4 linked regions of the Anolis sagrei genome follow. The protein of the gene in region 4 purifies or fractionates together with the protein of the main gene of each other region. This does not show direct contact. Links are inferred from orthologs where the notes say so. Each region holds a gene or a part of one and is shown on either strand. Other genes may lie near its edges.

Region 1 (7,684 bases), on a different chromosome or scaffold from region 4:
TAAGATTTCATGGCGGGGGGGAGGGGGGAGGCCCGGTCGTAACTATGAGTTGTTTGTACATTGGATGTTTATAACTTGAGGATGGCCTGTATAAGTAAACTCGGTTTTTTAAATCATCTTTTGGGTAGCTACAGTAGGTTACTTTGATATTATTTGTATAGATGAAGAACAGGGTACTGTTTTTCCTCTGGGTTTTACTGAAGCTAAGAAGAAAACAGCAATTCTACCATACACCATTACATAAAAGAAGACTGGAGGTATGCGTACACAAGTTTTGTCCAGAATACATGGCAGTTACATACTATTCCTGAACTGTATTATTTCTCTCAAGCACCCAAGGGAAACAGGAATGAACCACCACAGAATCTTCCAGTAGTGATTGAATACTAAAATACAGCTGGTCAAAAGTGAATCATACATTGATTGGAGCACATCCAGGTATGAACCAGCAGTAAAGTGCCACTGCAAATGCACCAAATGGCATCTTATGTCACTGTTGTGAAAACTGAAGATTGTATAATGCTTGGTCATGTTCTATGATATATATATGTAAGAAAATCTTCAAATAAAAAAAATCACAAGATTAGCTAACATATATTATTTATTCATTGAAATGTAAAATATGCATCTGCACTAAAATTAAGTAATACTCCCTAAAACAAGAAGTACGCTTCCATGTCTACTAAACTGCAAGAGCAGAAATTACATGATCATTCCCTATAAAGTATATAAATTAGAAGTTACTGATACTATGACATTGCATGTACTGGTAAACATGTGCGCTCAAACCATAGCATATAGCTTATTAACTATGCTAGGTCATTGTCGCCTTCATGAGAAACACATGTGAAAGTAAATCTCACTGAGTGTATTTGTGTACAACAGAGTTGCATGGGAATAGATAACAACACAATTTGTTATAGAGGTGCAGCTCCAAAATGTCAGCTAGTTTTGGTTTTCTGTAGATTTATCCAACAGAAAACATATTGGATTTGGATTTGAGTCTCCATGATTGCAACATCTGTTGTAAACCCTACATTTACTGATTGCACAGTCAACTTATATAGTAATCTGACAAGTCAAATCTCCCAAAATCACTTTCCCGCTGTCTTAGGAATTAGTGATTTCTCCCAATAGTGAACATATGTTCAAGAAAGTTATTAATGTATTTTTCATATAAGGAAAGTAATCGATAAACAGTAATAAAATTGAAGAAAATAAAATAAACATCATGACTGAGACATACTATAGGAAGAGAACAATCTTTTGCTAGTAAAGAAACTAACTGCCCTAACCAATCAGTAGAAACAAATCAGTCCAACAACCAATCTTAAAAGGCAGTATATGAATTTGAGGACAGCAGGATATAACACAACCCAGACTTAACAATCTCACATACATAACTTTTTAAAAGAAGAAACAAACAGACACCTACATGCAAAGCAAAGTAATAATGATGATGATAACTATTTTATTCTTATATCCCACCACTATCTCCCCAAAGGGACTTGGGGCAGCTTACAGATGGCACAAACAAACATAAAAGTAAACACAACGTAAAATACAATACAATAAAACAATGGACATATAAAAACATCAATTCAGACTGCAATCCTCTAACCGTGGAGGTAAATTGATGGCAGCGTGGCCAGGCTATAAACACTGGAATAAAATAAGTGCCATCCACGAAGAGTCTAGAACTGCCTCCAACACCAACATCTCCAATAAAAATAGTGCAATATATTGTGGCTGGTTTGAGATGGCATTTTGTAGTTACACAAAATGGAACTTGTGCAATTGACCCTTAAAAGTAAACCTCATTAGTAAATTCATTTGAAACCCTACTTTCAAATGAACAGGTGCAGAATTGTGCTACTAATTCCCATCTCCTTAACTACCCCATGTCATAGACTAGGGTGGGAATCATAGTACCTTCCAGATGTTGTAGGGCCTCAGCTAGCATCACGCCTAGATTTGTGCTTCAACACCTGGAGGCCCACAAGACCCTATTTCCCAGTGGTTCTCAACCTGTGGGTCCACAGATGGTTTGGCCTACAATTCCTAGAAATCCCAACCAGCTTACCAGCTGTTTGGATTTCCGGGAGCCGAAGGCCAAAACATCTGGGGTCCCGCAGGTTGAGAACCATTGCTATTGCCAGAAGAGACAGCTGGATTCACTGATTAATGCATGATGTTCACCTCAAGCAGGGATGATGAAGAGGATGTGTGAGTGGACCAGGAGGGGAAATGGCTTTCCTGAAAGTCTTTCTCCTCGCCAAAAAAGGAGACCTTGCCCATCGCATCCTCCAAACCTTAAAACAAGGGTCCACAACCGTAAGCCAATGCTGAGATTCGCAATTCAACATCTGGATGCCCACTATGGCCAGCAGAGACAGTTCCCTGCACTGATGATTGCAAGATGCTCACCTCCAGAAAGCGCCATATGCCTAGCCCGTGAAAACGATGGGTGCAAGTGGCGGGGGAAGGGGGGGGGTGGCTCGGGAGAGGCTGCTGGCCCAAGGAGGAGGCCTGGCCCTTCACGAACAAGGGCCAAAAACCCTCTCCGGGGCCAAGCCGCATCCCAAGCCTCTTCTCCTGGCCAAAGAGCAGGCGAGGCGGAGGGGAGTGCGGCCCCCGAGAGGGGAATGGGCAAGGCGCGGGGGGGGGGTAAAGGTCGCCCCGATCTCCGAGGCCTCGTCGGGCGAGTCCCAGGCCAGGAATGGCTCTAGGCGGGGGCGCAGGCCGAGGCGGATGGTCGTAGCCGCCGCCGCCGCCCCCCTCAAGGTGGCTCGGCCCCCCTCCCCTCCTCCCCGCAGAAATCCCGCTCGCTCCTCGGCCGCACCGTCGGCGGCGCCTCCTTCGGCCTGCCTCACCTCCGCGACACCCGCTCTGGGAGGCGCACTCGGCGGCGGCGGCGGCGCTCGTTCCCTCCAGAGGCTCCCCAGACTCTCCAGCTGCAATGGCCTCCCTCAGTCTCTCACAGGCCGCACCAGGCCCCGATCTGCTGACGGACACCCGCGCGCCCAATCCGCGCTGAGGACCTCCCAGGCTCAACCAACCAGCCCTCGGAGGCGGGGCTTAAAGGCCACTATATATGGCGGGAGGCGCTCTGCGCGCCTTCCTGTGTCACCGAGGGAGGGGAAGGAAGCAGGGAGGGGACGAGGGAAGCTTTTGAGCTCATGTCATCTGCCTTTGAATTTGACACTCTCCCTCACTGTCGAGTCCGGAGTCCTATTATTATTATTATTATTGACACAAAAGCACAGTATGTCACAGCAAACGAGATCTATATGCTGGATTTCGTATGACAAAATCACAAGTTGAACACTTCTCAAGCGTCTAGGACTATTATTATTGTTATTATTATTATTATTATTATTATTATACAGACAAAAACACAGTATGTCACAGCAAATGAGAGCTATATGCTGGACTTCATATCACAAAATCACAAGTCGAACGCTTCCCAATTATTATTATTATTATTATTATTAGAAACACAAGATGAGTTCACAGCAGAGAAGATCACTCTGCTGGCTGTTGAATTGGATCACACGTCGGACACTTCCCAAGTGTCTAGGACTGTGTGATGTATCAGCAAATAATCTGTGCAGATCCCAATAGGGTGGCCCTCTGCAGCTGGCCGATGGTAATTTTGTCAGCGCCAATTGTGTTTAAGTGCAGGCCAAGGTCTTTAGGCACTGCACCCAGTGTGTCGATCATCACTGGGACCACCTTGACTGGCTTGTGCCAGAGTCTTTGCAGTTCAATCTTTAAATATTTGGCAGTGTGGACTTAGATAACTCAATTCAAAGCAGATGTTGTGGGTTATTTTGCCTTGATATTCTAAGTTATATGGTTGTGTGGAAGGGCAGGAAGGAAAACATAATCAATATTAGTTATCAAAATACTTGAAGGGAAAAACTGAGAGGAACATGTTTTCTTCTTTCTGTCTGTACTCATATGTACAAACCAAAAGGACTTTCCAAAGCCAGTGAGGCACCAATTAATAGATGTTTATTATGAGTTGGATCCTACTTCAGTATACCTGCAGCACATGATGTTTAAATGGATGCATCTTAGTTTTGGCTAATTTGAGTGCTCCTGGTCCACTTTTTCCATCTTGACCCAATCCTGGTCAGTGTCAGCATATAAATCAAATTGTAGTTCAAAAAGTGGTATGTCATGGGCAAGGAAAAACAGCTGACTCAAGCACTATGATTGTAAATAGAAAAAAGCACCCCCAACAATGAGATAAATCTGCCTTGACCTAGCAATGAGATACATATTTAAAGTGGCAGTTTGATCACTCTGTCCTCATTTCAATTAATTGTGTTAATTGTAACTGTGTGTTTTTTAAAGGAATTTTATTAAATTTTATATAGAATACAACGAAAGAGTGAGAACAATTAGGTATAGAAAAGTAAAGAAAAAAGAGAGAGGGAAAGGCCAATAAAGTAAGAAGTAAAAAAAGATATCCTAAATAAAACCCTACAAAATCCACATACAAAAAAAATAGAAAAATAAAAATAAAGAAAAAAAGTGACTTCCATTCCATCTTCTTGGATAAAATATTCTTGTTATTCAAAAATATATTTTTTTTATTAAAGATAATAAAATTGTCTCTCTTGTTTTTTTATATTCGCAAATTGTCCAGATAGTCATGAAGATTGTCCCAATTCGTTCTTTTTATTATCATGCCTGTATTTTTCTTCAACAAAAAAGTCAGTTCGTCCATGTCCTTTATTTCTCTGATTTTTTCCACCCAATCCTGTACGGGTGGTACTGTGCCTTGCTTCCACTCTCTAGCAAAAACAATTCTAGCAGTGGTCGTTGTATATGTAAAAAGTTTGTCCTCTTGTTCCGTCAAAGATTTCAGGGTAAGGTTTGAGCCAACCAGTTTTTGTGCTCATTTTATAGTTGAAGGCCATTCACAATTGCCATTCTCAATAGAGGGAGAACATGATGAAGGGCAAGCATGTAGATTTATAGGGTTTATGCTGATTTGAAGGCATAGGACTGGAGAAATGGCACATGGTGCCTTGTATGGCCAACTCATCTCTGTTTGCCACAATAGTGTCCTAATGGCTCACTGACAATTCTATAAGGAGTAAAAGTAATAGCTCTCTCCTATTAATTCCCAGCAAATGGTGCTTCCCTGAAGTTGATAGTTTCAAACAACATACCATTACTTGGGGCCATGCATAAGACATATCTATTTGTGTAATTCCCTTTCAAAGTTATGCAAGCTAGTGGTAATTACATCTTGTGGCAGGTAATTTTATCAATTAACTGTGATTTGTATGAAGATATTTGCCAGGAAGATTCAGAATTCTAGTGTAGGAAAGAAATATCTAATTTGCCCCTGTATATAGGTACTTATATTTCAATCGTGGCTTGCTATCTATCCATATACAATCATACACAGCAGATGCCACCCTAAACACAAGAATCCAAAGGTGGCATAGACAAACACAATTTAAGACAGACTATATTGTATGGTTATACTTTTTAGAATAGGCAATTTAAAATAAGTGAGAATCACCTGAAACTTTGCAAATGATAAAATTGAATTAAAATCAAGTTGACTTCAAAGGGTTTAATAAAAAAAATGTGCTTACTCAGTGCCAGAATGCTTTGTATCAATGTTGGATACCCAATGGATCTCTGAGGGAAGGATATTCCACAATTTGTGAATATCCGTCCTATCATACATGCCTGCCCTCTTTTAGTTTGGGATGCAAAGGCTGCCTTTTTTTTAAAGGATGTTTATGTACACAATTCTTTTGGGGCAATTAGTACTTCAGTTTTCAATAAGATAGACAGGTTAGAATCTTTGGATACAAGAGCACAGAGGCATCACAAAGCTCCTTTCTTGCCCAACTTCATCCTTTTATATCTTTTCTATAACTAGCTACCACCTTAGTATTTCTGGCTATTGGTTTTTGTTGTGTATTGTCTGAGCTTTAAGGCTGATGTTTTTATACCCATTTATTTGTGTTTTATCTGATTATGTTTTGTTTTGGTATGTTTTATTTTAATTGTATTTTGTTTTTAATGGATTGTTTTGCTTTTATGTTTTTGCCTTATGTACTGAGTCATGCCAGCCGCATGACCTTGGAGGTGTCTACGGACAATGCCGGCTCTTCGGCTTAGAAATAGAGATGAGCACCACACCCCAGAGTCGGACACGACTGGACTTAATGTCAGGGGAAAACCTTTACCTACTGTGGACGTTTTGTCCCATGTCTAAGCAGCCCTGAGTCCCTTTGGGGAGATGGAGGCAGGGTATAAAAATTATTACCACACACTAAATTGATAGTGTCATTGAGCTATACAGTTGTTTCTGTTTCCTTGAATTCTTTATCCATAGATTCAATCATCCACGGGCTTGTAAATATCCCTGCCCGCCCCCACCCAAAATCCAAAAAACAAACCTTGATTTTGCCATTTTGTTTAAGACATTAATTTACCATAACATTGTTTATAATGGTACTTGAGCATCCATGGATTTTAGTATCCAAAGAGTGTCCTGGAACCAAACCCCAGCTAATACAAAGGGCCAATTGTACTCATATTGAGATATACTCGTTGAACCACCTCAACATCTCTTTATAGGTGAAACCCCAGCTGCTCAGGCATTTTCACTGTCACTGGTGATTTCAGACTTTTAAAATGTTAAGCTTTTCTTCTCTGTAGAGCCCTATCCTAAACTACAATTTTGAATACCGCTAAAGCAAGATCCAGGGCCCACTTTTCCATGCCTAAGACCTCTGTGTACTCCTTTCCCCACAAATTTGGTCCCACAAGCTTGGCTGTGAGACCAAGCTTTCAGGATGATGCAATAAAGCAGCAATAGGAAACCTTACCAGGCCAATTAGATTGGACGCAGATGATCAAGACAGTTTTAAACAGTGTATTTTAATATTTAGACAAATGTTTTTAATGTTTATGTATGCATATAATGAATTCTTATCCTGGCATTGAATGTTTGCCGTATATATGCTGTGCTCCGCCCTGAGTCCTCTTCCTGGTTAGAAGGGTGGAATATAAATGTTTTAAATAATAAATAAGTAATAAACACCAAACAAACTGGTCTAAGCATCAAATTTTCTAACACCTTTGACTTTTCAAAAGGCACAGGGGAGGCTAACCTTGTTTAAAAGGGAAAACCACAGTTCCAGGTATAGCAGTTTCAGAAGGGGGATTTTTTCCCTTTGCTTATTTATTTACAGTATTTATATACTGCTTTTCTCACCCCTGGGGGGACTCAAAGCGGGTTACACAGAAATAATGGCAAAATTCAATGTCTTACATACATAAACCAAATCACAAATCAACACCATATAATTAATCATAAAATTAATAGGACAATTTACTATAAGATAAGGAAAAAAAGACATTTAAAATGTGAAATATAAGAATTAAAACACCTAATAAAAACATTAAAATCACATGATCCAAACGCGTAGACCAGGCTATTCCAATGTCGATGCGTGTACAGACATGATCCAGGGGTCATAGAAAACAACTTGGAAGGTTGCTGGCTACTATTGTGAGATACTAAGAAAGCAAGACGGAGTGCTGTGGACTGGCATGTGTACAGTGTCTAAGAAGGAATCCATGAAACACACACTGTAATCAATATTTTCTTTAATTGCATAGCATTTGAGCTGTTCAAAAA
Region 2 (7,186 bases), about 170 Mb from region 4:
AGGATTTTCAGACCCTGGCCTTCAAAGTCATAATCCAAAATTCAAAACACTACATCATGTTTGCTTTGAACACATCGCTTGAAAAATAACTAAACCTGCTGTAGAAAAACAGCAGTCTCTTAAAAAGTGTGGTTGAAGTCTTTCATGGCTTTTATTTGTTTGATGCATACCTTTAGGGAATACTCAGGTCCTTTATGTGAGCCAAATCTCCACAGGTTACCCTGAGATTTAAAATTAAGACCAGGTTTCTGGACGGGCACTTGAAAAAGTGTATTGGTTTTATTGTTTTGTTATATTTTACCTCTTGTTTCTCTACTCACTAACTGATAAGAAGTGACCCAATAATATCCCTAAAAACTTCATACCTTCTACACTGCCATATAATCCAGATCATCAAAGCAGATAATCCAGATTATCTGCTTTGAACTGAATTATATGAGTCTACACTGCCATATAATCCAGTTCCAAGCAGGTAATCTGGATTTTATATGGCAGTGTAGAGGGAGCCTGAGTTTGCCAGATCTGACTCTAAATAACTTTTGAGTCCTGGTTTCTCTCAAAAATCTGTCCATATTTGAGTAGGGATGTGATTTGAATTCTAATGTATTTATTTATTTCTTATGTCCAGTGGTCCTCTCATCTTCACTAAGGAGTGAGAAGTACCAAGAAGTTGTACTTAGGGGTGGGATGCAGGAGAAAAAGACCATTTCCTGAATAACACTGGCGTCCTGATAGCAATGTGCAGTGCAGTCCTCTACATATTTCTTCATGGATTTTGTCCCAAGCAAGGACTTAAAGCAGGCATGGGTAAACTCTGGCCCTCCAGTAGCTGTTAGGAATTATGGGAGTTGGAAGTCCAAAATATCTGGAGAGCCAAAGTTTGCTTATGCCTGACGTAAGGAATAGTTTTGGGGAGCATCTAAATAAAGTAGAGGAAATGCAGTTTGACATCACTTTAGCTGTCATGACTCAGTGCTCTGGAATGATGGGAGATTTGGTTTTACTAGGCCTTCTCTGCCAAAGAGTGATGGCTCCTCACCAAACCACAACTCCCAGTACTAAATAAAATAGCCTTTAGTACTCTCTCCCAAAGGAGATCAGAATGGCCCAATTGCTGTCCTCCTTTAGGAAGCAAATAAAAACCTTAAAAAACCCATAACCCAGGCTCATGGAGATGTGAATGGTCAAAAATCTGGCCTTATGAAATAAGAATTTAATATTGCCATGGCTTTTAATCATGTTTTTATTGATACTGTTTTTAATTTGCTATTATTGTTTCACTTGTGATTTGTATGATTGTTGAATGTGCTGTTAATTTATTGCAGTCGTCTTATTGTTTAGTTATTATTAGTTTATATTGATGTTGTTTTATTTATTGTGTCGACTGATTTGTTGTTTTTCTGTTTTTATTATGACACTGAATGTTTACCACTTTTGATGGAAACCAGAGTCCCCATGGGGAGATGGGGTGGGAGAGAAATAAAGTTTTGCTTATTTACTTATTTGAGTCAAGGTAGTTAAAGTGATGGGAAGCTGCATTTGTTCCGTGGTGTAGTATATACATCCTTTGAAATCAATATGAACGGTGGCAATGTCTATGGGCCCTTCCACAAAGCCATATAACCCAGAATATTAAGGCAGAAAATCCCACAATATCTGCTTTCAACTGGTATGTATGGCAGTGTGGACTCACACAACCCAGCTCAAAGCAGATATTGTGGGATTTTCTGCCATGATATTCTGGGATAGAGGGCTGTGTGGAAGGCCTGGAGTCCACATTGTTTTATATTTCAGTTCAAAGCAGATAATGTGGGATTTTATTTAGCTATTGCAGAAGGGGACCAGAATCTCAAGGCAGAAAATCTCACAATATGTGAACTGGGTTATCTGAGTCCACACTGTTAATATATCCCAGTTTAAAGCAGATGTGGGATTTTATGTAGCTGTGAGGAAGGGGCTTCACAATATAATTGCAGAAAATCCCACAACATCTGCTTTGACTCGAGTTATCCGAGAGCCCTTCCACACAGGCCTATATCCCAGAATATCAAGGCAGGAAATCCCACATTATCTGAGTGTGGACTCAGATAACCCAGTTCAAAGGAAATACTGTGGGATTTTCTGCCTTGATATTCTGGGATATAGGGCTGTGTGGTAGGGCCCCCAAAATATCAAGGCAGGAAATCCCACAATATCTGCTTTGAACTGGAATATATGGCAGTGTGGACTCAAGATAACCCAGTTCAAAGCAGATATTGTGGGATTTCCTGCCTTGATATTCTGGGTTATATAGCTGTCTGGAAGGGCCCTGAGTCCAGACTGTCTTATAACCAAAGCAGATAATGTGGGATTTTCTTCAGTTGTGTGGAAGGGGCCTAGTCCTCACCTCTGGCGAACACCAGTGGTCACCAACCTTGGGGGTTTGGGACTTCATCTCCCAGAATCCCTCAGTGCTGTCCTGGATGTTTGGGGCTGCTGGGAGCTGAAGTCCGGACCACCTGGAGGGCCGAAGTTTGCCCGTGCCTGAGCGAAGGCCATACAATGCAGTGCCGGTGGGGCCTTAGGCTTGAGTCCCTCGAGTGTTTTGGACTTCGTCTCCCAGAATGCCCCAGTGCTGTCCTGGCTGGCCGGGGCTCCTGGGAGTTGAAGTCCCCCAAGGCTGGGCGCCCCAACGCCCGGCGCGGCCCAGGACCTCACCTCTTCCACCTCGATGGCTTTGTAGTCGATCTCCTCGAAGTTGAGCACGGGCTGGGTGTCAATCATGTCCGCGGGGCCGGCCGAAGACATCCCTCCGCCCGCCGAAGAGGCTCCTCCGCCGGGCCGGCTTCACCGGAGGCCCATGGCCCCGCGGGCTCGGCGTGAAGCGGGGAGGGCGAGGGCCGCTCCTCCGCCGGGCCTGTGCCCTGCTCCCCGGCCTCTTCCCGCTACTGCCTGCGAGGCCCAGGCGGAGCCATGGCTGGCGGCGGAGGAGGCAAGGAAGCCAGCGGCCCTCCTCTTCCTCCTGCCCGCCCGCTTCCCGGAGCCGCCCCGCCCCCTCCCCCCGCCCTCCCACGAAGGAGGGAGGCTCAGCCGGGCACCACCCCGCTGCTAGGCCTCAAGGCGGTGGGATCCCGGGTGGGAGCTCTCGTCTGGGGAGGCAGCAGCACTCTTCGGCAAGGGAAACGGGGGGCCCTATAGGACTACAGCCCCCAGGATCCCATAGCAATAGACCTTGGCATTCGGGAGTTTTGGTTGCTGGGATTTATAGTTCACCTATAATCAGAGATAAATGCAAGGCTGGGGTGAAAATTGCTGGAAGAAACCTTAACAACCTTAGATATGCAGATGATACCACTTTGATGGCTGAAAGCGAGGAGGAGCTGAGGAGCCTTCTAACCAAGGTGAAGGAAGAAAGTGCAAAAGCTGGGTTGCAGTTAAACATCAAAAAAACCAAGACTATGGCAACAAGAATGATTGATAACTGGGAAATAGAGGGAGAAAATGTGGAGGCCGTGACAGGCTTTGTATTTCTAGGTGCAAAGATTACTGCAGATGCAGACTGTGGCCAGGAAATCAGGAGACACTTCGTGGGAGGAGAGCAATGACCAATCTCGATAAAATAGTGAAGAGTAGAGACATCACACTGGCAACGAAGTTCCGCATAGTTAAAGCAATGGTATTCCCTGTAGTAACCTACGGATGTGAGAGCTGGAGCATAGGGAAGGCTGAGCGAAGGAAGATAGATGCTTTTGAACTGTGATGCTGGAGGAAAGTTCTGAGAGTGCCTTGGACCGCGAGAAGGTCAAACCAGTCCATACTTCAGGAAATAAAGCCCGACTGCTCATTGGAGGGAAGGATAGTAGAAGCAAAGATGAAGTACTTTGGCCACATCATGAGAAGACAGGAAAGCTTAGAGCTGGGGTCCTCAAACTTTTTAAACAGAGAGCCAGGTCATAGTCCCTCAAACTGTTGGAGGGCCGGATTATAATTTGATAAAAATTTGAATATGAATTAATTCCTATGCACACTGCACATATCTTATTTGTAGTGCAAAAACCCTTTAAAACAATACAATAATTAAAACGAATAACAATTTAAACAAATATAAACTTATTAGTATTTCAATGGGAGGTGTGGGCCTGCTTTTGGCTGATGAAATAAGGTTGTTGTTGTTGTTGTTGTTGTTGTGTGCTTTTAAGTCATTTCAGACTTAGGTTGACCCTGAGTGAGGGCCGCGTAAATGACCTTCGGGGGCTGTATCTGGCCCCTGGGCCTTAGTTTGAGGACTCCTGGCTTAGAGAAGACAATGATGCTGGGGAAAATGGAAGGAAAAAGGAAGAGGGGCTGACCAAGGGCAAGATGGATGGATGGCATCCTTGAAGTGACTGGCTTGACTCTGAAGGAGCTGGGGGTGGTGACGGCCAACAGGGAGCTCTGGTGTGGGCTGGTCCATGAGGTCACGAAGATTTGGAAACGATTGAACAAGAAACAACAACTGCAATCGGAGAGCATTCTGAACCCCACCGAGAGAATTGGGCCAAACTTCCCACACAGAACCCTCATGACCAACAGAAAAGCCCTGGCAGTTAAAAGTGTTGTCAAAGTATCAATTCCCCACTGTGTAGATGCGCCGAGGGAGTGCTACTGTCCTCATCGTTAAATATTTTAATAACTGTTTCAATAATCATTATGTGTGTTTATATAATTTATGCACATTTTTATACAAGATGTAACTGGTGGGTTATGTTAACATTTAATTTTTGTTCAATTTTGTCGTAGCTTTTGTTTACTTTTGGTATTTGAATAGTTTGTTTTTGTATTCTCTTTAAGAATGTGTTTTAGCATTACATATTTGCCATTTTTTTTTGTTGGAATCCACCCTGAGTCCCCTCGGGGAGAGAGGGCAGAATACAAATAAAGTTTTATTATTATATTGTTATTACTCTCCGCTAGCACTGAATGGAAGCCAACGGTGCCAGAGGGGTAAATCCTGTACAACTAATGCAGTTTGAATTGATAACATGGGTTAGAGCCCTTCCAGATAGCCATATAACCCAGAATATCAAGGCAGAATAACCCACAATACCTGCTTTAAACTAGGGGTCCTTCCAGGCCCTATATCCCAGGATCTGATCCCAGGTTTTCTCTTTAATAATAATAATAATAATAATATTGACCTCACAGTCGTGTTAAAAAACAGAGTATGGATAGTTGATATTCCAATACCAGGCAACAGAAGGATTGAAGAGAAACAACTGGAAAAGCTGACACAATATGAGGATTTAAAGATCGAACTGCAGAGACTGGCACAAACCAGTAAAGGTGATCCCAGTGGTGATTGGCACACTGGATGCAGTGCCTAAAGACCTTGGCCTGCACTTAAACACAATCAGCGCTGACAATATTACCATCTGCCAGCTGCAAAGGTCCATCCTACTGGGATCTGCATGCATTATTCGCTGATGCATCACACAGTGGGAAGTGTCCAACGTGTCATCCAATATAACAGCCAGAGTGATCTTGTTTGCTGTGGACGCATCTTGTTGTGTTTCAAATAATAATAATAATAATAATAATAATAATAATAATAATACTAATCATCATCATCACCTTTCTTTATAACCCGCCCTATCTCCCCAGGAGGACTCAGGGCATTTCCCAAACAAAAAGTGGCAAACATTCAATGCCATACAAAAACCAACTGACAGAGGGTTGCTATGAGTTTTCTGGGCTGCATGGCCATGCTCCTGGACCAGAAGCATTCTGGAATATGGCTATACATCCCGGAAAACTCACAGCAACCCAGTGATTCTGACCATGAAAGCCTTTGACAACACATCAAACAGATAGGCAAACCAAATCAAAACAATAAGTAAAACATCAATATAAACATATAATAACAAAAAAGTACTTAAAACAAACACTGCCCTCTATCCCACACTGCTCTCTATCCCAGAATATCAAGGCAGAAAATCCCACAATGTTTGCTTTGAACTAGATTATCTGAGTCCACACTCAGATAATGTGAGATTTTCTGCCTTGATATTCTGGGATAGAGGGTTGTGTGGAAGGGACCCAAGTCTTATGCAATCATAAGAGTTTTAGTTTTACCAGGTCTTCAGCTTTCTCTGCTCAAGAGTGCTGCTGCCTCACCCAACTATAGATCCCAGGATTCCATAGAATCAAGCCATAGCGGTTAAAAGTGGTATAAAACTGCTCTCTAACGAGCAGTGGACATATGTGATAAAGAGCATGATAAAAGGGCACCAGAGTTCAAAAATATTGACAAATTGGACAGTGTCCAGAGGAGGGTGACTAAAATGATCAAAGGTCTGGAGACCATGCCCTATGAGTAGCGTCTGAAAGAGCTGGGCATGTTTAACCTGCAGAAGAGAAGGCTGAGAGGAGACATGATAGCCATGTATAAACATGTGAAAGGGTGTCAGAAGGAAGAGGGATCAGGCTTGTTTTCTTCTGCCCTTTAGATTAGGACTTGAGGCAATTGATTCAAATGACAGGAAAGGGGATTCCACCTGAATGTTAGGAAGAATTTCCTGACTGTAAGAGCTGTTCAGCAGTGGAATTGTCTGCATCCGAGTGTAGTGGAAGTTCCTTCCTTGGAGGCTTTTAAACTGAGGCTGGATGGCCATCTGCCAGCAGTGCTTTGATTGTGCTTTTCCTGCATGGCCCATGCAGTCTCTTCCAACTCTATTATTCTGTGATTCTAATTCCAGGGTATAGATGCACCCAAGACCCCCCCACCACACACACACAACTCCCCCAATAAAGATTATTAAAAAAAGAAAGATCCCCCCCCCCCCCGGGTTCAGCACTTGCCTGGGGAGCAAGCTTGTAGAAAGAATAGTTTTAGTTCTTTGTCCTGTTTCCATGACCAAAATGCTGGATACAAGCCTTTTACCATTTTTGATATCATAGAATCATAGATAGGAAAATGATGGAAAGAATAATCTAATTTAATTTTAATATATTTTATCAGTGTGTTTTAACCATGTTGTATCTGGCCTCAAGCTGTGAGGAGAGACATTTAACAAATGAATAATAATAATAATAATAATAATAATAATAAGCTCCTGCAAGAAGATCACACAGACAGACTACAAGCAGAGGCATAACATCGTTGCTCAGATTATTCATTGGAACTTGTGCCACAAATACCATCTCCCTTTGAAAAAGGACTGGTGGGATC
Region 3 (7,688 bases), on a different chromosome or scaffold from region 4:
AGAATAGTACAACTTCAAAAGGCGCAGAAAGGGCAATCAAAATAATAAAATAATTAGAGCCATTTCCCTAGGAGAAAAAGTTACAACATTTGGTTTAAGAAAACAAAACCTGGAGAAGTGGTAAGCAGGAAGGCTCCTGATGTGTATGTATACATATAAGCAAAGTGGGCAAAAAGCAGGCAGGCAAAGCTTTTCATCTTCTCATATATTACTAAAACGCTGGATTATTCAAGCAAACCAAACTGTAGGCAATTCAAAACAGACCGGACAAAACATTTATTCACACACCAAATATTTAAATTAGGGAATATGCCACCACAATATGCAGCAATTGCTATAAATGTGAAAATATATAAACAGGAATTAGGTAACGTCATGGAAGATATAGTTATCACTAACCAGTCATTTTGGAGGCTACAAACTACTTCTAGTATCAAAGGAAGTATATATTTCAAGACCAGTTGTTGGAGAATATAAATGTGATAGCAATACTACATTTACATCCTAACTAAGGGCTCCCCATAGAAATGTGGTTGGTCCATTGTAGGAACTACATGCCTAACTTGATGAGCTTCATCCAAGTAGCTCTTCTTATGTTCTTAACTTATTCTACATTTGGCTACTGCATGCGGATCGCAAAAACATCACTGTAGTCCAGAAAAGTCCTCACAACAGAGAGCACCTTGCTCCAAGAGACAATATTAACTAGACTGTTCTTCAAGGACAATGCTGTACCATTGTTTTCAGAACTGAAAACAGGATGCAGGGAAGCAGAGACTCTTTAATTTCAGCCAAGGAAAAAGGCCTATACTGTAGGTATGAGAAATCAGAGGAACACTGTCTGACACTTACACTCAAGACTTTTCTAATTCTTAAGTTAGAATTTAGTTCATTATTCTAAAACATCTGTAAACTTTCATCCATACAAAAATATTAGACAAATATGACAGAATGACTCTGAACTGAACTTCACTTGTAGCTATTTCTGCACACCAAACTTTCAATCCACCCCCAACCCCTCCTTCCAGTGCTGTGATCTGAGGGATCCCAAATCCAGTTCTCCCAAGTAATTTGTTTCACTACACCAGGGTTTCTTAAACTTTTCCCACTTGCAACCTCTTTCTGCCTTTGAAAGTTTTATGCAACCCCGGCTATAAAGGTATATAAAATAGGTATAAAAAAGAAATAAAAATTCACAGATAAAAAATCTGCATTTACAAGGCTAGTTAAACAGTCTGATTTTCCTTTCTTATGAAATGCAGCTGAAGTATTTTCTGTAGAGTCCACTGTAAACACAAATGTTCTTACTAACATTTGTGTAAATGTCTAAAATAACACTGACATCATGAATTAACCTTTTATTGGGTTGCTGTGAGTTTAATGAGCTGTATGGCCATGTTCCAGAAGCATTCTCTCCTGATGTTTCACCCACATCTATGGCAGGCATCCTCAGAGGTTGAGGGGTTTGTTGGAAACTAGGCAAGTGGGTTTTATATATCTGTGGAATGTCCAAGATGGGAGAAAAAACTCTTGTCAGTTGGAGGCAACTGTGAATGTTGCACTTGATCAACTTGAGTAGCATTGAATAACCTTGCAGCTTCCAAGTTTGGCTGCTTCATGCCTGGGGGAATAGTTTGTTAGGAGGTAATTAGCTGGCCCTGATTGTTTTTTGTCTGGAATTCCCGTTTGTGAATGTTGTTCTTTATTAACTGTCCTGATTTTAGAGTTTTTTAATACTGGTAGCCAGATTTTGTTCTTTTTCATGGTTTCCTCCTTTCTGTTGAAATTAAGGTTTTCATTTATTTATTGTATCAGAAGCAGCCCAAGGGTACAGTTGCAATGTATTTAAAAACACAAAGTTAAAAACACACACAAAGCATTATATTAAATGTCCTTTGACAGTAGCTTGTCACTTAGAGTGCCTATTAGAAGGTTCTCCATTGTGCATGTGGGAGGGCTCAGACTGAATTGTAATAGGTGGTCTGTGGTTTGCTCTTCTCCACATTCGCATGTCACGGAATTCACTTTGTGGCCCCATTTAAAGGTGATCAGTTTCAACATTCCCACCTGCCTCAAACAGACCAGAGTTTTTCTCCCAGCCTGGACATTCCACAGATATATAAACCTCAGTTGCAGAATTTCCAACCTCTGAGGATGCCTGCCATAGATGTGGGCGAATCTTCAGGAGAGAATGCTTCTGGAACATGGCCATACAGCCTGGAAAACTCACAGCAACCCAGTGATTCCAGCCATGAAAGCCTTCGACAACACATTGACCTTTTATTGTTGCTAAATGTTGTGATCCCAACACTGAACTAAGGGGACCCCCACATCTTTAAAGAAAAAGTATTTCTGATTGCCATCATCCACAACTCCTGCCCCATCACAAAACACATTGGTTCAAGATAATCTCTTTATCTGTATCTGTATACTTTCTGTGGCCCACCCCTTTTGCTCCTGACACTTTCCTTCCTTCCTTCCTTCCTTCCTTCCTTCCTTCCTTCCTTCCTTCCTTCCCCCTGAACCGGTCGCCTTGAAAGATAAGGGCCAGTCCAGGCATGTGGCTCCCCCGCCGCACGCCGGCCTTGTCTGCTATGAGAGTCTCCCTCGCCACGAAGATCTCCCCCCACACACACGCCTTGCTCTCTTTCTTTCCCCGGCCCCACTTCTCCCCTCAGTCCTCCTGCCCCGCCAGCCCAGTCCGAGCCCCTGCTTAAGCGAGGCCAGGCCTCCCCTCGGCTCAGGCGCCCTCCTCCGCGCCGCCCGTCCCACCCGACACTGGGCCCTTCCGCGGAAGCGCTCCCCCCTCAGGCCCTCCCTTACTAGGCCGAGCCCGGGCCGGACTGATCTCCAAGTTGAGGTCGATGCGCCTCCGGGCCTCCCTGTTCTCCTGCTTCAGCTTGGCTTCCAGGCGGGACAGTTTCTGCTCCAGCGAGGACGCCGCCATCTTCCCCCTCCCCCTCCCCCGGAGCCGACGCCGCCACCGCGCAGCCAGAATACACAAACACCGCACTGCGCAGGCGCCACATGAACCAACCCGGCCGCCGTACTCCTCCCCCCGCCCTCCTCCTCCTTCGCAAACCAGGCTGGGCTCCGGCTTTGCCCGGCGCTTGTTTTGCCTGGCAGTCTCCTCTCTTGCGCATGCGCCGGGCTCGAACGTCTACTTCGGTCTACGGGACGTGTTGGAGATCTGCCGCGCATGCGCTTCCCCCACTTTCTCAGGGACAGGAGCAGCACGTCTGGAAGTCGCAGAGAAGTTAGCTTTTCTTTCAGACACTGGGTACATCTGCACTGGAGAAGTAATGCAGTTTGATACCACTTGTATGCATCCTTTATTTCTGTATTTTATTGTTTTTGCCAGGGGGTATAGTGAATGTATGATGTTGTGTTGACTGTTTATTGTTTATGTTTTATTTTGCACTTGTTGTATTTTGCATGTCACACTTTGAGTGACATGTGTGAGCCGCCCCGAGTCCCTCTGGGAGATGGTGGCGGGATATAAATAAAAGTGTATTATTATTTTACTGACACAGTGTGTCACAGCAAACGAGATATATATGCTGGATTTCGTATCACAAAATCACAAATCGAAACACTTGTTTATTATTATTATTATTTTTAAATAACATTAAATGTTGAATATAAAGAATATTAAGTGATATTAATTTTTATTATTATTTGAAATGCAACAAGATGAGTCCATAGCAGACACTCTGCTGGCTGTTGTATTGGATCATACGTCGGACATTTCCCAAGTGTCTAGGTCTGTGTGATGTATCCGCATATAATGCATGCAGATCCCAGTAAGGTGGCCTTCTGCAGCTAGCAGATGGTAATTTTCTCAGCACCGATTGTGTTTAAGTGCAGACCAAGGTCTTTAGGCACTGCACCCAGTGTGCCGATCACCACTGGGACCACCTTGACTGGCTTGTGCCAGAGTTTATTATTATTATTTTGTGATTTGATGAAGCACCAGCAGTCTTTGTAAAACTACAATCCCCAAGATTCTGGGAAAACATAGGATTGCAGGAGCTTGGAGCAGAAGTGGGATCATCTTGGCTGATTCTAGCAAACCTTTTTGGCGGGAGAGGCAACACAGTGCTGTCTCTGATGCCCAAGTAGAGAAGGACTCCCTGGAGGCTTTGTGGCCAAAATGGTGATGCAGAAAGCAGTGTATCCGCTTGAGAGTCTCAACCTTTGCCTATGTATTTTTGAAACCAAATTAATGTTGCGTGTCAACTGGAAATTAAAACCAGAAAGTCAGAATGGAATATCCTTGGTATGTGTCTCTCTTGCCTGTAATCCTGAAAAATAGCATATCTGCAGTTCCAGTTCTGTACACATTTCCTCCAGATCCCACTTGATGAATCAAATAGGAAGGCAAGAAATAAAAATGAGGAACAAACAACTTGGTACCATTTTTGACTTCATAATAAAGTGTCACTGGGGATCACAGTCTGTGGCATTTGAGAAGCTGCTTTATATGCTGTCATTGTGAGATACATCAGATACCAATAGATGCCTCAGTACATATTTTTTGTAACACAATGATTAAAGAGACCCAGTTTGAAAGCTCAGAGAACTAGGTCTTTGTTAGTTGCTTTGAATCTCTGTCTCACATTTTTAAAAGGGGAAGACTGGACTTCTAATAGAAAAGGCATGTTAAGAAATAATGCACCATCCAAGAAAAAGAATTGCCACCAAGCTGTAGTTACAGTCTCTTGGGAGCTGGTGACATCAGGGATCACAAAATTGTTAATATCATTAGTATTATGATGTTTATTTATATCCCACTTTTTCTCTCCATAAGGATACTCAAAGCATCTAGCATTAAAAGCATTACAATATAATTTAAAATTTAAAAATATTAAAACAGTATTAAACATCATCAGTATTAAAAACAATTCAGATTTAAACCATAAGAATATATAAAACCACAGCACCCCCCGAAATGATCTTAAAGGCCTTCTTCTTTAAAAGCCTGCCTGAAGAAGAAGGTTTTAGCCTGCCGCCAGAAGGACAGCAGGGAGGGAGCCAATCTGCCTTTGCTGGGTAGAAGGGAGTTCCAGAGTCGTGGGGCAGCCACCGAGAAGGAAGACCCGCTCTCTTGTCCCCACAAACCAAGCTTGGAGTGGAGGTGGGACTGAGAGAAGGGCCTTCCTGAAGATCGCAGGACTCAGACAGCTTTGTACAAAGGCACGCAGTCAGCCAAATAGCCTGGACCTGAACCATCTAAGGTAGGCATGGGCAAACTTGGGCCCTCCAGGTGTTTTGGACATCAACTCCCACAATTCGTAACAGCCAGTAGGCTGTTACAAAATGTGGGAGTTGGAGTCCAAAATGCCTCGAGGGCCCAAGTTTGCCCATGCCTGATCTAGGTCATAACCAGCACTTTGAATTGTGCCTGGAAATAGACAGGCAGCCAGTGGAGTCTGGTGACATCTGAAAATACTATACTATGTTATGCTAAGGTACAACAGTAACATTGAGCTCCTATGTATTAACAGTACTTTTAGTGGCAATAGACTTTCCCATTAGTAAAACCGACTTTTTTATATTCCTGTAAAATTTTCCTTGTGTTTTTTTTCCCAAATTGGGTACATTGTGGGAAGTTAATATCATGTAAGAAGCTATATCTTACTTTACACCACACTACTAGTCCATTAGTAAGCTTCCTCTTTTCCAATTGCCTTAATAATTGCTAGGCTGCTGCAGTGTTTTAGTGACATTTCTTCGTATGATCTGAATGTTTTTCCCACTTAGGTCCTTCAGTGACACAAGTCTCATATATCTTTTGCTCGCCTATTGTGTCTTAAGAATTTATGGAAACATAACATTACCAAAAATTGCCCTGACTGGAAGAAAAAGAAAACTTAAAACCAGACAGATGTGGATCATCTTGTCTCTTTGACTCTTTTCAAAAGAGTTGAGTTGTTCTGGTGTGTTGTCCTTTATGATATTGGAAATGATGGGTTTGGTGGAAAGTTTAGAGTCCTTATTCAGTAGCCTGGAAAATGTTACTTTTTGGACAGCGAGTCCCCAAATCCCCTTGCAGTGGATTTACTAAAGAGTTACTTCTTTAGACAGCAAGTCCCCAACCGCTTCTGCCAGACACTTGTGGGTGTGGGGAGATTCTGGGGGGTGTCCCATAAAAGAACTTTACCAAGCTTTGATTTGGGAAGCGTTTGTGTGTTGGTAAGTAAGGTAAGAAAATTATGTCCTCTCCAGCCTCCAATACCCAAATCATGGTCAAGATCAGCATCTGAAGGGCAGCTCCCACTCATTGCTGAAAGGAAGATGGCAAAGCGCCATGAGTATAGTTGGTCACACTGGTCAGCCATGTGCAGCAGGAAAGCAAAATCATTGTATACCTCTGGGATGTCAATTAAGTGGCTGCCTTCTTGCATTTGCTTAAAAGAATACTTGAGCAGCGGTTGTCGTACCAGCCATAAGAGGGGGTACATCCCAACAAGCCCATAGAGGAACACCAAGAATAAATAAGTAGCCATCAGTTTCTGCAAAATGGAAGCCAAACTATGGGTACAAAGAAAGGTAGAGTAGCCAATGAGGTTATCTGTGTCTAACCAGCAAATGTGTTTAAAGGCAATGGATCCTACATAACTGTAGGTGTAGCCTAGCACAGTTAGGACCTTTGCAACTTTGAAGATGGTTTGTCCAGTGTAGATTGTGTAAATCAAGCTGGCGCTCTCAGTGTGTGCCCTGAATCTGCAGATCTTCTCAAAGAGTGCCCAGCCTTGCTCTTTGTCCTTCCATTCTAGAATAGGAGAAGAGGAAGGTGATATCAGTTGGTTTTGGCACCCTCCTGCACCAGGGGTCTTGGGTCGGCCTATGACATGCTGGCAGGCCATCTCGGAGAGAGCCTTGGCAGTCCAAGGTGACTCGAAGCATTTCATGAGGATAGACAAGAAGTGTTCGATTTTTGATGAAGTCTTAGGGTACCTGAACCAGAAGTTGCTACTAGCCATTAAAAGCATCGAGTTAACAAGTGCAAGGTAAGGGAAATATTTTGAAAACCAGGGCAAGGCCTTTTGATAACAGATGTGGCTGATAAACAAGTATTGCTGGTAGTCAAGTTTCACAGGATGGCCACTTTTTCCAGCCATAATTTTTTCATTGATGGCAGGATTTATAGCTCCAGGTTTAGAGGTAACTGTTGTGGTCTCATTTGGCTTGTTGCTCAAAGGCAGACATGTCACTTGGTCAACAGAGATGAGCAAAGTCCCAGAGAGAAGCGAAACCATCAGCATTGCAAGTACTAAGTAATCCATCAGGACATCCCACCAAGGCTTTAATATCTGGAACCGAACATGGCTCTCATTGCGGAAGGTGACTTCTGTCAGAGTAAACATCACTAGAAAAAAAAGAATATGAATTCAATAACGTCATTGTTTTTCTCTTCCATTTTTCACTGATAAAAGAGCCTGTGTGATTCTATTCACAATAAGAGCCCAGATCTGTGTTTACAACTGGATTTTATATTTCTAGGAATTTTCTCACAACCACCTCCCTTGCTCCCAGGCTGTTTATGAGTTAATGTGTGCGCCATTTTCTACTATAGCCTCCATTGAAAATTTACAGAACCTTCCGTGCTCATTGCATTTCAGGACACCATACAGAAGATAACAGAACCTCAAGATCAAGCCAGTTTTATTTTTCAACCTTCCTCC
Region 4 (6,931 bases):
TAACTCTGTTCTTTTCTTCTCCAGATCTGAATGCTTATGGAAGCAAATCAAAAGAAAACAAAATTGTGTGTGTGTGGTGGTGAGGTGGGGCGGGAGGACATGGCATGCTTCCCTCTTTTTTCATGGAGATCAGAGATTGCTCAGGGTTGTTTGAGTTTTCTGGGCTGTATGGCCATGTTCCAGAAGCATTCTCTCCTGATGTTTTGCTTGCATCTATGGCAGGCATCCTCAGAGGATGTGAGGTCTGTTGGAAACTAGAAAAATGGGGTTTATATATCTGTGGAATGTCCAGGGTGGGAGAAAGAATTCTTGTCTTTTTGAAGTACATGTGAATGGCCATACAGCCTGGAAAACTCACAACAACCCAGGGATTCCAACCATGGAAGCCTTTGACAATACAGAGATTGTTCTTCTAGCATTGTACGTATCTGGACTAGATGAAAAGAAAGCAGTGGTTTCTTTTTGACATCTGAAAATGCCACGTGACAAAGTTTTATGGTCTCTTGTAAAGGTTAAATATTAGGCTTCTGAAAGCTCAAGCTTGTAAGAAGCAGACTTGAATAATGTAAGCTAATCTAGTGGCGTCATCACTGTATCAGAGATGTTTTTATTTGTAGGTAGCTTCTTTGCCCATTACTGTTTGTGACAAGTCATAGACTGGATAGGCTGGAGACAGGGTTGCCTTTTCTATGGGGAATCTTGGTTCTGGAGACAACTTGATAATTGAAGGTTTTCATGACCGGAATTACTGGATTACTGTGAGTTTTCTGGGCTGTATGGCCATGTTCCAGAAGCATTCTCTCCTGACGTTTCCCCCACATCTATGGCAGGCATCCTCAGAGGTTGTGAGGATCTCACAACCTCTGAGGATGCCTGCCATAGAAGTGAGTGAAACATCAGGAGAGAATGCTTCTGGAAAATTGCCATATAGTCTGGAAAACTCACAGCAACCCAATCTTCTCTTACTAACATTCAGATCCCAAGATACACAAGACAAACAGACAGCTCTACTCAGACAAAACCCATTAAGTCACAGAAAATCTCATTTACAAAGTCATAATCAATCACTAAAAACCCCATCATCTTCCATTCCCAGCCCCATGAAAAGTGACATATTTTCTTGCAACCAGTCCAGGTTGAAGGCACTCTAAAAATCTTGCAACATGGAGAATCGATTGAGGAGCTTAGTTTCTCTTCCAGTTCAGAAAACATTTCCCTCTGCAATGCTTTCAAATCAGAAAACATACTGGATATTTAGAAACCAATAATCATAGGTTTGTAAAGACAATTCTTAATTCCCACAATTAAAAAGCAGATAAACATAGAACACAAACCAGACACAAGCAATTAAATGAGCAAACATGGAGGAGCTGAATTGCTACCCAGAGGCAGGATGTACCTTCAGTGGTAGGATCATGTTACAATGTTCAAGAAATCATCTCAATAGCCTATGCAAAGATGCTTGAAACAGGTGGTTTCAAGGCCTGTCTGGTTTGTATTGTCACTTCATCCTTGTAAACATGACATTTTTTCTCCTAATGGTTCAAATCCAATATGGTGTCTAATATTTACCACCCTGATTCAATCAGCTATAAATCTGCCTTCAGGATTGGCTTCCAGATTCACTTGGAAGAATAGGGAGAGGGGCTGCTTCACGGATGTCCATGTTTATCAGTGTGGCGGTCGCTATTTCCTGGGAAGATGCAAGATTTGTCTGTGGAAGCTGCTGATATGGAAGGAATAATGAGGGGAATATGTAGGGAGGTCAGAAACAGTGTGAGGTAGTGCTTGGATTCAGATAGGGTTGTGTTGGGTGTAATACTGTGGGGCTGAGATAAGGAGAACAAGGAAGCAGGGGTGTCTGTGCCAGGCAGCTTGAATGTCAGTGATATTTGGAAGATGTGAGGAGGGACAACACCCCCCCTTCCAAATAACCTCTTTCCTTCCAAATCAGCAAGACAAATGCCACTCCTCCTCCTCCTCCCCCCAGCCCTGGTTGTTCTGTTCCAGAGGCGCACACGTCAGCCACACTCCTGTGCCCCACCTGTTCCAGAAAGGGAGAGGCGCTATTGGCACCCACCTGCTGGGCAATGCCACCATTCAGAGGATGTGTGGGGAAGATAGATTACCCACTGCACCCATTATTGCCTCTTGGTTCCTTAGAAAGGTGCCTGAAATGGAGGAAATATGGGAATGGGGGTGGGTGGGTGTTCCATTTCTCCCCACCACCTCCTCATCTTTCAGTGCAGAGCATCTTTCACCTGCATCCTTATAATAAACATTCAGCTGAAATAGACAGATTGATAGACAGGCAGAGAGGAAGGATGGAAAGGTTCTTTCAAAGCACATAGGCTAAAGGGGGGGGGGTGTTGTGGGAGGGGGTCTATGAGAATCCATTGGGGAAGGGAAGGTGGGCAAGTGGGGGGCAGAAAGGAGGCTGTGGCTCCCCCTTTTCCTCCTCCTCCATCTCCTCTTCCCTTGTCCTTCTCCCCCAGCATCTCCTTCTGGGAAGGGCCCCCAAGGATGAGAGAGAGGGGAAGGAAGGAAGGAAGGCTCCCCTACCTGAAATTGGGAGGCGAGGCGAGGTGCAAGCCCAGGAACGGGGAGGATCCGGTCGGGGACGTGGCTCCTTTCTCTCTATCCGCCATTCTCCCTCTCCATGCAGGCGGGCAGGGGAGGAGGAGGAGGAGGAAGATGAAGAAGAGGAGGAGGAGGCAAGAGGCTGCTGATGCTGGTAGAAAGGCAGAGAGAGACAGGCGAAGAAGGCAGGGCTGAACTGGTGCTGCCCCAGAGCAGGCGCGGTTTCAGCAGCTGGGAAGGTAGGAGGAGAGCAGGGAGCGGGTGAGGAGGGGGAGAAAGCAGGGGTCCCTCTCCTCCTCCTCCTCCTCTTCTGCAAGGGGAGCTTGGCCCCCTCCCCTCTCCTCTCCTCTCCTCGCTGGCGCCCCGGGGAGCTGCGGCGGAGGCAGGTGAAGCCGGGCCGCCCCTCGTCGCCAGGCAGGTGGCCGCGAAAAGGAGGGGCAGCACGGCGTCAGCAAAGGCGGAGGAGGAGGAGAAGGAGGAGCCCCTCCAGAAAGGACCAGGGGGAAGCAGGTGGGTGGGTGGGAGGCAGGGAGGGAGGGAGGCCAGAAGGAAGGGAGGGAGGGAGGGAGGGAGGGAGGAAGGAAGGAAGGAAGGAAGGAAGGAAGGAAGGAAGGAAGGAAGGAAGGAAGGAAGGAAGGAGAGATTGATGGAGGGAAGGAAGGAAGACGGGAGGGAGGGAGAGAAAGAGAAGAAGGAGGGAGGGAGAGAAAGAGAAGGAAGGAAGACAGGAGGGAGAGAGAGAAGGAAGGGAGGGAGAGAAAGGGAAGGAAGGAATACGGAAGGAAGGAGAGAAAGAGAGAAGGAAGGAAGGAGGGAGAGAAAGAGAAGGAAGGAGGGAGGGAGGGAGAGAGAGGAGGAAGGAAGGAAGGAAAGAGGGAGGCAGAGAAAGAAAAGGAAAGAAAAGAAAAGGAAGGCAGGCGGGAAGGAGAGAAAAAGAGAAGGAAAGAAAAAGTGAAGGAGAGAAAGGGAAGGAAGGAAGGAAGGAAGAAAAAAAGAAGGAAAGGGCAGCTCTTCTTTGTGAAAAGCTAGGGAGGCAATTAGAGAAGGAAGGGCTTGACTGCTGGCCCTTCCAGACAGGCCCAATATCCCAGGATCTGATCCCAGCTTTTCTGTTTATCCCAGATTATCTGGCAGTGGGGATTCATATCATCCAATTTAAAGTAGAAAACCTAGGATCAGATCCTGGGGTATAGGGCCTGTCTGGAAGGGCCCTGGGAAGATGGGCTCACCTTCCAAGCCTTTCGGGGAGGAAGAGATGATAATGATGATGGTTGTGGTTTATTATTCCAGTATATTTTAACTGTATATTGTTGACTGTTATATTATGCTGTAAACCGCGTTGAGTCGCCGGCTAGGCTGAGAAACGGCGGTATATAAGTATTTAAATAAATAAATAAATAGAGTTTCACTTATCCAACATAAACGGGCCGGCAGAATGTTGGCTAAGTGAAAAGGTTGGATAATAAGGAGGGATGAAGAAAAAGCCTGTTAAACATCAACATATATTATGACTTTACAAAGTAAGCACCATAACATCATGTTTTACAACAAATCGATAGAAAAAGCAGTTCAATACATAGTAACATTATGTAGTAATTACTGTATTCATGAATTTAGCACCAAAACATCTCAATGTATTGGAAGAGCAGTGAAACTGGGCAGGAGACAGACTGCGTTGGATAATACAGAATGTTGGATGAATGAAGGTTGGATAATCAAGACTCTATTGCTATTTTGAGTATTCCTTCTCCAAAATGCTTAGGACCAGAAATGTTTTGGGTTTCAGATATTTTTTCCCCAGGATTTTGGAACCCCTGTCTTTTCACAGACATACATCCTTCATCTTGGAGATGGAACCCAAGTCTAAACATAACATTGATTTACGCTTCATAAACATCTTATATACAAGCTCATGTTATAGACAATATTTTTCAATAATGTTATGCATGACACGATTTGGATACATTGAACCATTAGAAAGCAACAGTTTCAGTCTCTCAGCCACTCATGTGGACAGTTTCAGGTTTAGAAGCATTTCAGGTTCCAGAATTCTGGGTAAGGGGTGCTCAAAATGTAATGATGATAGAACTAATTAAATCCCATGTCCTCAGAAAGTCTTTAATGACAAGCTGTTTGTTGTTGTTGTTGTTGTTCAGTGCCATGCCCCCTTGAAAGTCTTTGATTATGAAGATAGGACAGGCATGGGCAAACTTCGGCCCTCCAAGTGTTTTGGAATTCAACTCCCACAATTCCTAACAGCCTCAGGCCCCTTCCTTTTCCTCCTCAGCCAAGTGGCTGAGGAGGAAAAGGAAGAGGCCTTAGGCTGATAGGAATTGTGGGAGTCGAAGGCCAAAAGACCTGGAGGGCCGAAGTTTGCCCATGCCTGAGATAGATAGCAATGACAATTCAGTGCCAAGGGTGTGTGCACTGCATTTCCCTGCTTAAACATGTGAGCGAGGGGAGGTCCAGTGAAAAAGAAGGGAATCTCAAATAAGAACCACCAAGTCCCCTATTATTTAAGGCCACTTTTTTCTTGAGGATTACTGGGATGAAATCGTAAGGGTATGGCTTCTTTGTATTGATTACATTCATGTTCATATATGTTTCAATTTACAGTGATCCCATTAATTTGTCTTTGGCAAGGAATACTTAGAGGTGGTTTTGCCAGTTCCTTCCTCTAAAAAGTAGCTTCCAGCTCTTAATTTTCATTGACCATCTCCTCTGCTGTTTATCTAAGCATTTCAAGGCAGTAGAAAGGCAACTCCGCCTCACTGTCAGCAGGGAAGGAAGCTTAAGCAGAGCCAGAATGAATGAGCAATGGTTATCCAGTGAGCGCACGGAAGAGCAGAAATTTGAATCTGTGACCAGCCTCTCTTCCTAACCAAATACGGCTCTACCTCCACTCTTGCTCTCAACTTCAACAGGATTCGTATATAGGTGATCTGGGAAGGAATTCCAAGCATGAGTAGCAAGAGAGAATAAGAGGAAGGAAATCTTTCAGTACCTGTCTTAAGAGGTGAGCATAAAAGAAGGAAAGATTATGGATAGGATATAAGAAGAAACAGGCAGAAACATGGGGTAAAATGAGTCAAAATTGGATAGGGTGGAACAAAACCATAAAGATCTTTCAAGACAAGGGCAACGTCCTCATGCTAGATGGCAGATGGAATGAATGACTAAATGTAAAGTCCTGAGAAAAAGGACTGGAACTCTAGTAATGAGTAAGTTGAATAATGTAATGTACTGGCTTTTTATTCTATTGCAAGAGCCTGAAATTAGCAATATTATTTATTTATATTTTTTTAAAGAGCAGCTTTACAGAATACACATATGGCAAACATTCAATGCCGATTATGCAATAACAGGACAGACCACACAACAGAGGTAAAGGCAGTTTTCCCCATCTTATTTCTGGCATCTTGAAGACTGTGCTTGACTCCAGCCATGGTTGGGGTGGAGGTATTTAAGGCACGTGGAGGTATTTAAGGCACACATAAGAAAATGCCAGAAAAAATGCCAGCCATTTGATCAAGGAGGAAGTTTACAAGCAAAGCTCTTTGGCAGGGAAAGTGGAGTGGCAGCACCCTCCACCTCTCCCCATGGCCGGATCCAAGCACAGTCTCCAACATGCGGAAGATGGGAAAGCCTATATATACCTCTTTTTATGTACAGTCATGTGTCCTGTCAATGTATAACAGCACTGAATGTTTGCGTGTATGTGTTCTGTGATCCACCCTGAGTCCCCTTCAGGGTGGATCACAGAGTGAATACTGTATATAAAATGGAATAAATGAAACTATTTCTAAGTACGGAAGTTCTTCCTTAGGAAAACCTCATCAAATTCATAGGGTCTCCGTAAGTCAACCGATGTCTTGAAGGCTCATATATACAAACTTCAAGACAAAGACTATCTCATAAGGTTTTTGTTCCCTACCAAACCCACAAGGTAGTTATTAACTGTACAAAGATCAACCAAAAATACTATCCTTCTTAAAGCATAACAAAGAAAAGTCTCCCACTGCAGCAATGTTATTACAACGAAACCTGAATAATTTGTTTCCTTTTCATATCACAGAATCAGCTGCTTGAAGCTTCTCAGTCCGATGGTTCTTACAGGCGGGAAATGAAATAAAATCCAAGGATTATTAAACCAATTTAAATGTAACACTATGACACTAATATATAGAATATCTTAATATTTAGAGACAACCAGGTATTCTGCCTCAGGAAAGCTTTCTAAAAATCTACATGGAAATCAAGCACTCATCTGGAACCATATCTGCTATGATTTGTGTCAGAAAAACACTGTCACATCACTACAGCCTTTTTAGTGTTATATAGAGCCCAAAAC

The links.
Region 1: the proteins of MAPK8IP1 (region 4) and MAPK9 purify together in Homo sapiens (affinity purification with western blotting; 4 studies listed by BioGRID and IntAct, counting the BioPlex papers as one, with this or other methods). This does not show direct contact. The link is inferred for Anolis sagrei from reciprocal best matches to the Homo sapiens genes MAPK8IP1 and MAPK9.
Region 2: the proteins of MAPK8IP1 (region 4) and MAP3K7 purify together in Homo sapiens (pull-down; 3 studies listed by BioGRID and IntAct, with this or other methods). This does not show direct contact. The link is inferred for Anolis sagrei from reciprocal best matches to the Homo sapiens genes MAPK8IP1 and MAP3K7.
Region 3: the proteins of MAPK8IP1 (region 4) and MAP2K7 purify together in Homo sapiens (affinity purification with western blotting; 3 studies listed by BioGRID and IntAct, with this or other methods). This does not show direct contact. The link is inferred for Anolis sagrei from reciprocal best matches to the Homo sapiens genes MAPK8IP1 and MAP2K7.

What each region holds. Positions count from the first base shown.
Region 1 is NC_090022.1:87,597,311-87,604,994, reverse strand, and holds the start of MAPK9 (mitogen-activated protein kinase 9), read right to left. Parts: upstream 3,014-7,684; 5' UTR 2,874-3,013; intron 1-2,873. UniProt on the Homo sapiens protein: Serine/threonine-protein kinase involved in various processes such as cell proliferation, differentiation, migration, transformation and programmed cell death.
Region 2 is NC_090021.1:104,198,677-104,205,862, reverse strand, and holds the start of MAP3K7 (mitogen-activated protein kinase kinase kinase 7), read right to left. Parts: upstream 3,018-7,186; 5' UTR 2,788-3,017; coding exon 2,698-2,787; intron 1-2,697. UniProt on the Homo sapiens protein: Serine/threonine kinase which acts as an essential component of the MAP kinase signal transduction pathway. Plays an important role in the cascades of cellular responses evoked by changes in the environment.
Region 3 is NC_090022.1:112,614,087-112,621,774, forward strand, and holds the start of MAP2K7 (dual specificity mitogen-activated protein kinase kinase 7), read right to left. Parts: upstream 3,004-7,688; 5' UTR 2,948-3,003; coding exon 2,824-2,947; intron 1-2,823. Other genes in the region: volume-regulated anion channel subunit LRRC8D-like, read right to left, coding at 6,072-7,370. UniProt on the Homo sapiens protein: Dual specificity protein kinase which acts as an essential component of the MAP kinase signal transduction pathway. Essential component of the stress-activated protein kinase/c-Jun N-terminal kinase (SAP/JNK) signaling pathway.
Region 4 is NC_090021.1:277,861,542-277,868,472, reverse strand, and holds the start of MAPK8IP1 (C-Jun-amino-terminal kinase-interacting protein 1), read right to left. Parts: upstream 3,016-6,931; 5' UTR 2,649-3,015; coding exon 2,563-2,648; intron 1-2,562. UniProt on the Homo sapiens protein: The JNK-interacting protein (JIP) group of scaffold proteins selectively mediates JNK signaling by aggregating specific components of the MAPK cascade to form a functional JNK signaling module. Required for JNK activation in response to excitotoxic stress.